Linked DNA regions of Kluyveromyces lactis. The protein of the gene in region 1 interacts with the protein of each later gene in a pairwise test. Links are inferred from orthologs where the notes say so. Each region holds a gene or a part of one and is shown in the gene's direction. Other genes may lie near its edges. The genes, in order: KIC1, SOG2 and CBK1.

Region 1 (4,421 bases):
ATCATGCTATGCACCGTTTCCAAGAACATGTCAATATAATTCGTACATCTAGCAAAATGCTGTAAAGTGTGCATAAATTCAATAAAATATAATTTCCGTACATCGTAAGGAATGCGTTCGTTTCTCAATTCCACATTTTCCAGTCTAGTAGTTAAAACATCCAAATATTCCTTGATGTGTACCATGTCTTTTTTCGTTATGAGCAGGTTGACGATTCGTCTCATTGGTCGGAAAGGGTGCATGACACTAAATTTTTCATCGAAAATGTGACGTTTTTCAGGATCCTCAATAAAGTGAAGGAAGCTAGCCACTCTATATTCCATCTCCGAACCTTTCAACATTCTTTCTTGTGTCAGTCCTGCATAATGACCTGATATTAATACATTGTTTTCGATGAGGAAAAGATAGTGCTTCATTCTCTCATCAGGAGGAACAAATACGAAAAACCATTGGTGAATATCATCTGGTAGCAATATACCAGAACCTTCTGTTACTTCTGGATTACATCTCCTGTGTAACTCAATGCAGTTGTAAAATTCTTTTCTTCTAGTTGCTCTATCAAGACCTTTGCAATACCGTATATGATCAAGGCTCTTTGAAAAATATGCATAGTGTTCGGAGTCTACGACCCTCAAAAACTCCGAACGAAACTTTAGCCTTTCTATAGGTCCTGGTAAGCCTTCCTCAATATATCCCAGGGCCAAATTATAGTTTTCATTCAAAGTCCTCATCATTTTTCTCTTCAGCTGCATCAATTCAGATACGTTCTCTGAAGTGGGATTTGTTAACGCCTCCGCCACATACGCCTGCATCTTCTGATCTTGTTTTAATTTATGCCATTCATGACTGGATTTTATAGTATCTATAATACAATACACCTCATCCTTGGAAATACCAGATATAAATCTATACTGGATGGTCTGCCTTTTGATCTGCCTCAAACTTTTAGAAAGTGCAAACATTCTTTATCCTATACGCTAGAACAACAAAACGAGCAAACTTCGCTCAGCTGATCGGGATGGCGGAGAAAGGCTAGCTAAAGTACTCGATAAATTAATAAAACAAGATTAATTTCATCATTGTGATTCTTTGTAGGCATCGCAGCGCATTGCATCGCATCTTCATTTTAGAGAAATATCAAAATTTCCAAACAAAAGAGATGTTAAAAGCCCATCGAACAACAAGAAACAGGAGAATAAACACTTCTAGCACACCATAAACAACTAGATTCATCATTTGTGGAGACATATCATATTTTAAAACTCCTGACCATAAACGCAGATTGCACAGCTATCCTTCGGAAGTGCTCCTTGCCTTGACAATGCCCGATTTCGAGCTATTTGAACGGGAAAAATTGTTCACGTGAATAACGAACTCCGGGTAACTATTTTGAAGATCGTTAACCCACCTTTTCTTGTTTATAAAAGAATGAACTTTGAGAGATGGGATTAGGAACCTGCATGTGAGGGAAGCGGAAGCTGGACTAAGAAGAACAGGGATTAAAGCTCTATTTGCCCTCCCAAAAGCCCAGTTGTTTCTAATATACAAACAAAGAAATATTCTAGCAGCTTTTCTATTTGTATTTTGTGGATTTAAACTCATCGTGGTGGAGGTACGATGTCTAGTAGTTCTACAAGCGGCACGAATAATGTCACATCTCTTTTCAAGAGGAAGGAAATCATCGGCAGGGGGAAGTTTGGAGTTGTGTATAAGGCGTTCCACGTGAAGACGCAACAAGTGTATGCTATTAAGGTTTTAAATCTCGATAATACCGAAGATGAAGTGGAAGATATCCGTAAAGAGATCCAGTTTTTATCGTCTTTGAAGCAGACCCCGAACATCACCCATTACTATGGCTCATATTTAATTGATACTAAGTTATGGGTTATAATGGAATATTGTGCTGGTGGTTCACTACGGACGTTGCTACGACCGGGGATCATCGAAGAAAAGTATATCGGAGTTATCATGAGAGAGATTCTTGTAGCTTTGATTTCAATTCATAGGGACAACGTCATTCATCGAGACATCAAGGCTGCAAATATCTTGATTGCAAACAACGGAAGCGTAAAACTTTGTGACTTTGGTGTTGCCGCACAGCTCTCGCAGTCAATGTTAAAGAGACAAACAATGGCTGGTACTCCTTATTGGATGGCGCCAGAGGTCATTATGGAAGGTGTTTACTATGATACCAAAGTTGATATATGGTCTTTAGGTATTACCGCGTATGAAATTGCCACTGGAAATCCTCCTTACTGTCATATGGAGGCTATCAGGGCAATGCAAATGATTACGAAATCCAAACCGCCAAGACTTGAGGGAAGGGAATATTCTCAGCCTTTAAAGGAGTTTATTGCATTATGTCTTGACGAAGATCCTAAGGAGAGGCCATATGCAGAAGAACTTTTCAAGAGTAAGTTGATAAAACAAGAGAAGGGCACCAGCACGGTGATTTTAAAAGAGCTTATAACACGGTATTTGCTTTTCAGAGAAAAGAATGAACAGTATAAACATGAGGAAGAATCTCATACAAGTTCTAAACAGAATCCCAATTCATCGATAGAGGGAAATGCATCACAGGATGCTGGTTCATTTACAGAAAAGGAGCCCGAAGATATAGATATAAAATGGGATTTTGATTCATTGAGCTCTAGAGAATACATTTTAGAGAATGATATCAACGTGGAGGCTATACCAGAAGAAGCGGACTGGATCAAGTATTCTCCTCAAGAAGTAAATTATGCATATCCAGAGGAAGAATACTACAATTCCAACAAACCATATTTCCCATATTACCAAGGATCCACCATTGGCAGGACCTTTAACAACAATCCCAATACGGCTCATCTGTCAACGATACAAGCTAATAACAATAATAGCGCCAACCTTAATGCTACGGCGCCTACAAATCAACATAATACGCATTTTAATAAGCATTATCAACACACTACAACAGGTACAGCAAATCATTTAAGTCGTCACACTGGAACTACCACCCATGGCACTTCTAAACGGAGCGAAACAAAGGCTTCGAAACAATTATTACAATTGTTTGAGGATAAGCCTGAAGAAGTGTATGATTTTCCCAAGCTGAGTAAGACAGTGTCCTCATTCAATATTCAACCAAATGGGACTCCTCATGTTGATCATGACAACGATTCCAGACCTGATATGAGAAATTTGCACAGCCAAAGTACTCCTGCATTATCCATACTCCAAACCAACTTTAAATCCAACCTTGCTGGCCCAGGAAGTTCATCAGTGTTACCAACACCGATAGAAATTGAAATTCCAGAAGAATTACCTGTAAGTAAGGAATCGGTTTTGACGATGAATACGAAGCCAAGGTCCTCCACTGTCTCTTCGATGTCTCAAAAAGCTACACCAGTATTACAAAGACGTCCCACTGTGAGCGGACAACCATCTTCTCAGCTAACGTCTCTTAGGTCGGACATAATGAATGGAATAAATACCAATTCTAAGACTCCAGGAAACGATGACACAAATGGAATCAACGTCCCTTCTACTTCATCGAACAATGCTCCAAATGTGGGAGCTAAGAATTTATTCGGATCGAATTTGACTCAGGCGAGATCGCCGTCTCCCACTCGTGCGTTGGCTGACGTTTCACCGGAAAAGAAATTGTTAGATTCTGTATTGCATCAGAGTGCTGTTTATAGCAACACTCCGCCTGTTATGAAGCAAATGCATACACCTAATGATGTTTTATTACAATCAATGAATACCCCAGCAGAGAAGAAAGAAACCGAAGGTGAACCAAGTAGGATCAATAGAGATTTCAAAAAGCAACATCCCCACTTGAAGTTGCAAATGCCATCTCCTACTACGCTGGTAGGCTCCAACAAACTACTTGATTCAACGACGCAGCTTGACGATGCATCACACCAACATCAACCAAATTCAGCATCCACAGCTCCAGGCGCCGTCACTGCCCAAACTGTAAATCAGTTTGGTATCAACACAAGCAATGCCCAAATATCTGTGGCAATGACACCAGTGGGCGAAAAACGGTTCGGAGATTTCACAAAACCAAGAAAGAGAAGCACAAGTGCCAGCACATCGAGTAGAAATAGTAGCATTACCAATGACCATGTATACAACCCCGCCAATGCTATTCTAGCCAGCAATGGGAACAATAGCGCTTCGGCGACAAATGGGCCAACAAACAATGGTGCTTCTGGCACCGCCGCTACAACAACCACAACTACTGCAAGTATGCTCGCTACGACAGTGAGCTCAACCAATCCCGGTACCAGCAATGGTGCAATATCAATTCCTTCAGCTTCCACATCGGCGGGACCCCTACCATCCGTATCGATGACCCCCCTGAGTATTCCACCAGGAACCAGTAACACTGCAAGCACTGCTGGTAGCAGCACCGTCGTTGGTGGCAGCGCCGG
Region 2 (4,160 bases), on another chromosome or scaffold:
TGGAAGACCTTCTTCGTCATCAGGACCTCCATAGAAATCAATAATATAACGAACCTTACGATATCCAGGGTTTTCAGTGTCAGAGGATGTGGGATCAGGTCTCAGGACAATCCAGTCATGTCTATCGAACGGCAATTCACTTGAAAAGTAACCGGGGAAAAGAGTACCAAAAATGTTGAAACATCTTGCCCTAGGTGAAAGCTGGTCTGGTTTACCCATAAATTGTAGTAGCTTTGGATAAGTGTGTGTTTTATCGGTATACTTTTTTTCCCAGTCCAGTATTTCTTGCCAACATCCCTCATTCAAAAAGTTGTGAACAAATACCATAGACTCGACAGCATCTTCAGGAATTTCCTCCCCAGTAAATGGGTCAATCTTACCCTTTCTCACCATTGCATTGTACATCTGCTGCGGAGAAGGATATTCCCAAAATTCATCATCGGCAGTCTTACCCTTTGGTATGGAACTAACGGTACGCTCCGTTGGTAGATCGAGTTTTTGACCAGACTGTTTGACATCAGTCAAGGCGATAGGAATGTTGTTCAAAGGATTTAAGCCATGATTACCTTGATCAGACAAGACTGGACAACCACCTTCCGTACCGGTGGGTTTATCTGTGGTCTTCTTATCATGAAGAACAGGGCATGCGGAAACATCGCTTCCCTTAGGTTTATCGTGCATCACAGGGCACGCAGAAATATCTCCAGAAATTGGAGTAGCATTAGTTGACGCTGTGCTTAGCTTGTCAGCCCAGAACCAACCCATCTTCGTTGACGTTTTCGCTTTCAGACTCCGTGTGATGAGCCTTGCTTGATTGAGAATCTTATGGTTAATAATACCCGACATTTCTTTTCCTTATCAAAGCTGGAGGAAAAAGAAGGAAAAAAAATCAGGACATTACCCGGATCTCGTGAAGCTGGTAGAATATCGCGTGGCCGTGGGCCTTGAAACCATTGAGAGAGGACTGCAGAAGTTCGTCACCTGTTGGCGAGCGCCCTTCGGTTGCAGAGGTAGGTTATAACTTATGTACTTCGGATGCCCCGTACCAATACAGTCATATCAATCGTGTACCTCATGCAATATTTCCTTTTTTTTCTCTGTAATACCCGTAATCGAATCAATATGTTTCCTTAGAAAATGATCATCAAAAATAAGCTTCATAGTAAATCTAGTAATAAATAGGAAAGCCCAACGCTGTTTCGACTTGGTTTCAAAAGATCTACTGGAGAGTTCTAACCAAAGTTTTGTACTCTCGACTTAGATCAGCTGGTATTAACGTACTGTGCCATGGATAACCATACGGAATTACTGACATCACTCAGGCAAGGTCAAAATGGAAATCCCCCGATGCACCCTGTTAATAAAGAGATTTATCAGAAGGATAACACAGCAGTTTCATTAGCTGATCTTGGTTTGTCTTCAATAACAGATGATGCTGTTGAGCTGCTTCAACTAGTTGAGAACCTTTCTTTGCACCAGAATAACTTAACACAGCTTCCCGGATCCTTTAAAAAGTTGACAAATCTTCGAACCATCGATCTTTCTGATAACAGATTCAATGATATTCCTCCATCGTTAATGCAATGCCTTCGATTAGAAAAAATAAATCTTTCTAACAACAACATATGGCAGCTACCTCAAGAATTTCCAGAGACATGGTGTGATAACCTTGTTACACTCTCATTGAGGAACAACAATCTAACATCCATCAAGACACTATTTCCTATAATATCCCAGTTAAAGAATCTACGAGTCCTTGAACTAGATGGGAATAATTTTCCAAATGATGTTATCGAGAAGGTTCTACAAGGTTTTACTAGTTCCAAGTGCTCTGCGGAAGAATACTGGGTTATAGCCTTAAGAAAATTCTTCAGTGACAATACCGTTTCACAAACACCGGCAGTTACAACTCTGGATCCACAACAAAAGATAGCAAGGGCTGCGAAACGAATGGGCTTTATTGGAAATTCACATGATTCGGAAGACAATGAGAATAATCTCACGTCTCCCCAGAGCGATCTTGATCTTTACTCTCATTCAAAATTCAACGAATACTTCAAAAGATTATCTGTTCTGCCAGAGGAACCCAATTTGCAAGAGGTAGAAGAGGAAACAGATGAACAGAATTATAAAGAATTACTACAGACACATCATGAAAAGAAAAGAAAATCTATGGAAAATGTTGTGCTAGCTTGCAGGAAACTTTTGTTCACTTTCACTGAGTGTCAGCAAAACATTAGGAAGATAACATCGCTATGTTCTGAAAAGACCATTTCGGTTAATGTTGTGTCACAGCTTTACAGTCTCAAGTCTCATATTGATAATTTAGTTGAAGTCTTGGAACAATTTGAAAATAATAGTCAACAAAATGATCCTTCAATAACGCAAAGTCAGTTCCTTCATCATGATGTTTTGATACGACTATGTTTGACCATACTTTCTATATTCAAAAAGATTTTTGTTCAACTTCGAAAGAACTTCACTGCATTTTTTGGCAATAACGACGTGTTTTTTTTAAGGGTGTTCTACATGAACATATTATGTTCGTATACTGAAATATTCAACGCCTGGAAACTACTTGTTTTGGATAACCAGGAAATGATGAAAAAGAAAAAGCTAGCCAGAACGCATTCAGTTCATTCTATGAACATGGCTCAGTACCAAAAGTATTTAAACAGCAGGCAAAAATCGTCTTCTGCTATTAATCGATCTTCTTCTCTGAGTGGCGTCTCTTCCCAACAGTCTGCAATTAATGTCAACACACCAGGTATAAATGGTCCTTATGCGAATCAAAATGGCCAACAGGTTACCCCGCCAATTAATCCAACATCTTTCACGACTACACCGATATCTGAAGTTTCAACAACACCGCCTATACTAGATTCTTCACCGAAACCACCTCGCAGTCTAAATTACAGTGAGCAATCAACTGCCTCCACAGTCACACAAGGTGCCGCACCCACCGATACCTCCAATATCCCCTCACAAGCACTTGCAGATAAGGATATAGACCTGCAGCTATACCATACGTTGAATACAGTTATTGATATGGTTAACGTTGTATATTCACAATTGACGCAGGCAATAACAAAGTCAGCAATAGCTAGTACTACCTCCGATCAGCTTTCAATAACTCCTACGGTTGCTGCAAAAACAAAAGAATTGACAGATACTTGCTTCCAATCCATGGAGTTATCGAAAGTGTTAAAAAAACGACTAAATGTGATTTCCAATAGTGATATTGACACATATTTGGTTACTAAAGAAAAGCTCAAAACTTGGGAAGATATAAATGCATTTTTGAAGTCAATCATAGCTATTCTAGCCAACACAAAGGAAATCATGAGTGATCTGCCGACTTTGAATGACGTGAGGCCTAATCTAGCCTCTTTAGCTAAAATTACAAAGGATGTTACTGTTATACTCGATCTAAGCTCTTACAAAAGTGCTTCCATTACCAATCAGCAGTCATCCTCAAACCCTTCATATGTTGGTGCAAGTTCTGTTGATGCGCCATCACAACAGCAAAATCACACAACGAATCAAGGATCACCGGCAGGTCAGCATGGAGATACCACGGATCATACAGCTTCGAATATAATAACACCATTATCTACGCCTTCGCTGGTGACTTCTCACAATGTGAATCCATTTGATCAACTGTGATAATAATGCATTTGTATTCATCCTGTATTTACGTATGCTATGTACCTCTCTCTAAGGTTTCTTGATACACCCTTGAAATTTCATAGTGATAGCCATGAATGTCATTCTTTTCCATTAATTTCGGTAGTAATATTCTGGTCCTCTCAGCTATTCCAATTAATCTAACAATTTCTGTTCCACTTATTCTAAAGTTCCCCGGAACTTTCCCGTCAATTAATCTAGCAAAAATAAAGTCTAATATAGACAATAATTTAAATAGCTTTCTTAAAGATCCATGGGTACGGGGTGAATCTGCATTAAACGTTTCAGGCTTCATGGATTGGCCTATATTACTTGAAAAACCATTATCAAAACGACCATTGGTCTCGTTATCATCATCAAATTCATCTTGCTCGGTTAATGGAAATTTATCCAAATAATCTAGAAGATCGTCTGAAATTCTGATTAGATAATATGACTGACCAAAATCGGTTGACTCAGAACCTTGATATTTT
Region 3 (4,240 bases), on another chromosome or scaffold:
GAACCACCTTGAATTTTTCAACATTAAAATATTACACAAGGAAAGTTCATCATAGTAGATATATCGTATAGTTGATTGTTATAGCACCTATTTGTTTCAGTACATTCAGAAAGCGTAACTCAACAGAGATCAAATCAGTCACAATGGGTATGTGAACAAGATTTAAAATATACCGTGGAGATTGTCAGTGGTTTATTCGATTTTTGGTATCCTGAGGGAAGAATGGAACGTTTGAAGTTTAGTACCAAGTGAACATGAAATGAGCTATGGTTATTTAACAGAATACAGCATTTCAGAGTGAATCAATGAGAAAACACCAACCGTATTGGAAATTCAGATATTGCATCGACAAGGGGGGAGAGTTCATTTGAGTTGGTGAACTATATCAAAAGATCAGTATTTTGGTCGAAGTATGGACGATTCACTAGCATAAAACCCTGTTCACGCTGGAGGAAGTAATTTGGGTTATTTGTTGTCCCTATGTTTCTTAATTCGGTGTAGTCGAGACAACCTCAGAGAATTGTATATCAGTGAAGTCAACGCTACACTGACTGAACATAATTAACAGGAACTCAGTCGTATTAAACAACTGGGGTTCAGATAGCCTGGACCTCCCTATACAATAAGAAGAAGAGAATAGAATTCCTGCAATCAAAATAAGCTGGATGAAGCTAAAGAATATTTTTTTACTAACATCGACATGTATCACTATCTTATGATATGTTAATTTCTAACAGTTAACGTTCCAAAGACCAGAAAGACTTACTGTAAGGGTAAGGAGTGCCGTAAGCACGCCCAACACAAGGTTACCCAATACAAGGCTGGTAAGGCTTCCTTGTACGCTCAAGGTAAGAGAAGATATGACCGTAAACAATCTGGTTTCGGTGGTCAAACCAAGCAAATTTTCCACAAGAAAGCTAAGACTACCAAGAAGGTCGTTTTGAGATTGGAATGTATGTCCTGTAAGACCAAGACCCAATTGGCTTTGAAGAGATGTAAGCACTTCGAATTGGGTGGTGAAAAGAAGCAAAAGGGTCAAGCTTTGCAATTCTGAGATTATCTTTTGGAAGACCAATTTGTTACCATTTGTCAATTTTTTAACTTTTCTATAAGTATTACGAATTCACATATACTCTTTCATCACATTTATAATCTCATATCTGTCATTTGTATAGTTTAGTCTCCACTGGGTACTTCTTCACTTTGCGATTTGTATTATACGTATTCTAAGTATAATTTTCAGCAGAACGCATAAGAGTTTATTAACAAGAATTGTTTACAAAGAATAGCGTAGGACTCAGGCTACATTATTGATCCTGCAGGCAGTAAAGCTTACATATGACCTTAGCTAATATAACATGTACATACTCACCATGTATACCACTTTTTTCATTCCATTGTCTAAAATATGTTTTCAATATTTGCCATAATCGCCAATTTCATTGGAAAAACAAAAACATCGAATCAAACTTGTTTTAGAAAACAACGAACATGAAACTATACTGTTAACGTTTAGAGACATATTTCACGTCAACAAGGCCGTTTGGACGTCGCTACTTCAGCAACAACACGTAATGTACGGTGGATATTCGAATCAGAACTACTATCAACAGCCTTCTGGTCGTCCAAACGATTTTCAGCAACAGGGAAACATGCCCTTTTCGGAACCTTCTCAGCCCATGTTCAGCACCAATTATATGAAACAACAAGGATCACAGCCGTCTTTACAAGACCGTCTGACCCAACAGCAATCGCAACCTCAGTCGCATAATAATCAATATTATCCGAATGGAGGGTTTACTGATGTGCCCAACTTGAATTATCCAGCGACTCCACCACCAACTCAAAGCATTTATTCACATAACAACAACTCTAATTCGAAGGTATATCAATCCGCTCAGCATACATCTCCCGGTCAATATTCTGTTGCCAGTGAGTCCGGTTTGTACATCCCGCCACCACTGCAGCAACAGCAGAATGGTCAACAGAGTCCTGTGAGATCGGTACATCAACAGACACAGCAAACACCGCCAACATTTACTCAGCAACAAAGCTCTTCCCAACCTCAGTCACCTCAACACAATACGTATCATGCACAGCAGCAGCAGCAGCAGCAGCAGCAGCAACAACAAACTCAACAGGCCCAGCAGCAAGGACAACGACAAACTCAGCAACAGTCTCAGCAGCAAGCTCAACAACAGAATGGATCGGCGAATAATTACATGTATTTTGAGAGAAGACCTGACCTATTGACCAAAACTACCCAAGACAAAGCAGCTGCTGTTAAGCTCAAGATAGAGAACTTTTATCAGAGTAGTGTTGGTTATGCTATTGAAAGAAATCAAAGAAGATTGGAACTGGAATCCGAATTGGCATCCCAGGACTGGTCCGAGGAACGTAAGAATAGACAGCTTGCTTCTTTAGGTAAAAAGGAGTCACAATTTTTGAGACTACGTAGAACGAGATTATCGTTGGACGACTTCAATTCAGTGAAAGTCATCGGTAAAGGTGCCTTTGGTGAAGTTAGATTGGTACAAAAGAAAGACACAGGCAAGATATATGCTATGAAAACATTGCTGAAATCGGAAATGTACAACAAAGATCAGTTAGCTCACGTAAAGGCTGAAAGGGATGTTCTAGCGGGAAGTGATTCTCCGTGGGTTGTTTCATTGTATTATTCCTTTCAAGATTCACAATATTTGTATTTAATTATGGAGTTTTTGCCGGGTGGTGACTTGATGACCATGTTAATCAGATGGCAAATTTTCACAGAAGATGTGACAAGATTCTACATGGCAGAATGTATACTTGCTATCGAGGTCATTCATAAATTGGGCTTTATTCACAGAGATATTAAACCAGATAATATCTTGATAGATATTAGAGGCCACATTAAACTATCAGATTTTGGTTTGAGTACGGGGTTCCATAAGACTCACGATTCAAGTTACTACAAAAAGTTATTACAAGAGGACGAGGCAAAGAAACAACAGCAACAACAACAGCAACAACAGCAATTAAATCTACAAAAACCTCAGCTCCCAAACGAAACAAACAATGGTAATAGAAATACAATGTTGGTTGACGCCATTCATTTAACCATGACAAATAGACAACAAATGCAAACTTGGAGAAAGTCGCGTAGACTAATGGCATACTCTACTGTTGGTACTCCGGATTATATTGCACCTGAAATTTTCCTGTACCAAGGTTATGGTCAGGAATGTGATTGGTGGTCATTAGGAGCTATTATGTACGAGTGTCTAATTGGTTGGCCTCCATTTTGCTCTGAAACACCACAAGAAACGTATCGTAAGATCATGAATTTCGAACAAACTTTGCAATTCCCCGATGATATTCATATTTCTTATGAAGCTGAAGATCTAATCAGAAGATTGTTAACTCACTCTGAAAATCGTCTAGGTAGACATGGTGGTGCCGATGAAATTAAGGCACATCCTTTCTTCAGTGGTGTTGATTGGAACACTATCAGGCAAGTGGAAGCTCCTTATATTCCTAAGTTGTCCAGTGTCACAGATACTAGGTTCTTCCCAACTGATGAATTAGAAAATGTCCCTGATTCACCAGCAATGGCACAAGCTGCAAGACAAAGAGAACAGATGATGACACAGCAACAAGGGGTTCCTCAATCCAATGCAAAGGAAGATTTACCATTCATCGGGTACACGTACTCTAGGTTTGATTATCTAACTAGAAAGAATGCTCTATAGTAACGCTCTCTGTACATAACCGCGACGGAAGTTCCTAAATATAATAAAATAAACGAAAGTAAGAAATACTACCAAGAATTATAAACATTACGGTCATTAAAGTGGAGAAAATGTAGATACAGCTGATTCCCAATAGATCATAATCAAATTGACTCAATATCAGGCGCCCAGCAACGTACTTGGTATTAAATCTACGCTTCAACACAAATTATTAAAACCAGGAAATAGTGAACAACACATAACCCGGTCCCCGCGCAGAACGAAATCTTACACAGGGATAACCGTGGAGCGATAATATTGATGTTGATCTTTTAGGAAACAAATAGTAACTAAGGTTAAACTAAAATAGTTCTAATGTATTTAATCATTGAAAGGCCTATAAGTGGAAACGAAGAAATATGTATCTGATTTTATATACTGGCAAAAAAAATTTCATGTTAGTGTGAATGATCTCCTTACTCCGGGTAACGGAGTTTATCAAAGTGTTTTCCGTCCAATATAGATTCAAA

What was found.
Region 2: the proteins of KIC1 (region 1) and SOG2 interact in binary tests that used the Saccharomyces cerevisiae proteins (3 or more experiments, as listed by UniProt). The link is inferred for Kluyveromyces lactis from reciprocal best matches to the Saccharomyces cerevisiae genes KIC1 and SOG2.
Region 3: the proteins of KIC1 (region 1) and CBK1 interact in a two-hybrid assay, tested with the Saccharomyces cerevisiae proteins (2 studies listed by BioGRID). The link is inferred for Kluyveromyces lactis from reciprocal best matches to the Saccharomyces cerevisiae genes KIC1 and CBK1.

Annotation. Positions count from the first base shown.
Region 1 is NC_006041.1:1,936,685-1,941,105, reverse strand, and holds the start of KIC1 (putative serine/threonine protein kinase KIC1), read left to right. Parts: upstream 1-1,617; coding exon 1,618-4,421. Other genes in the region: ATP22 (Atp22p), read right to left, coding at 1-962. UniProt on the Saccharomyces cerevisiae protein: Protein kinase involved in morphogenesis and cell integrity.
Region 2 is NC_006039.1:1,118,124-1,122,283, forward strand, and holds SOG2 (Sog2p), read left to right. Parts: upstream 1-1,287; coding exon 1,288-3,666; downstream 3,667-4,160. Other genes in the region: holocytochrome c synthase CYC3, read right to left, coding at 1-846; TFIIH complex subunit TFB6, read right to left, coding at 3,704-4,160. UniProt on the Saccharomyces cerevisiae protein: Required for proper cell morphogenesis and cell separation after mitosis. Functions in the RAM (regulation of ACE2 activity and cellular morphogenesis) signaling network and is required for proper ACE2 localization and CBK1 kinase activity.
Region 3 is NC_006040.1:668,586-672,825, reverse strand, and holds CBK1 (serine/threonine protein kinase CBK1), read left to right. Parts: upstream 1-1,574; coding exon 1,575-3,731; downstream 3,732-4,240. Other genes in the region: RPL42A (60S ribosomal protein eL42), read left to right, coding at 144-147, 738-1,054. UniProt on the Saccharomyces cerevisiae protein: Protein kinase that seems to play a role in the regulation of cell morphogenesis and proliferation.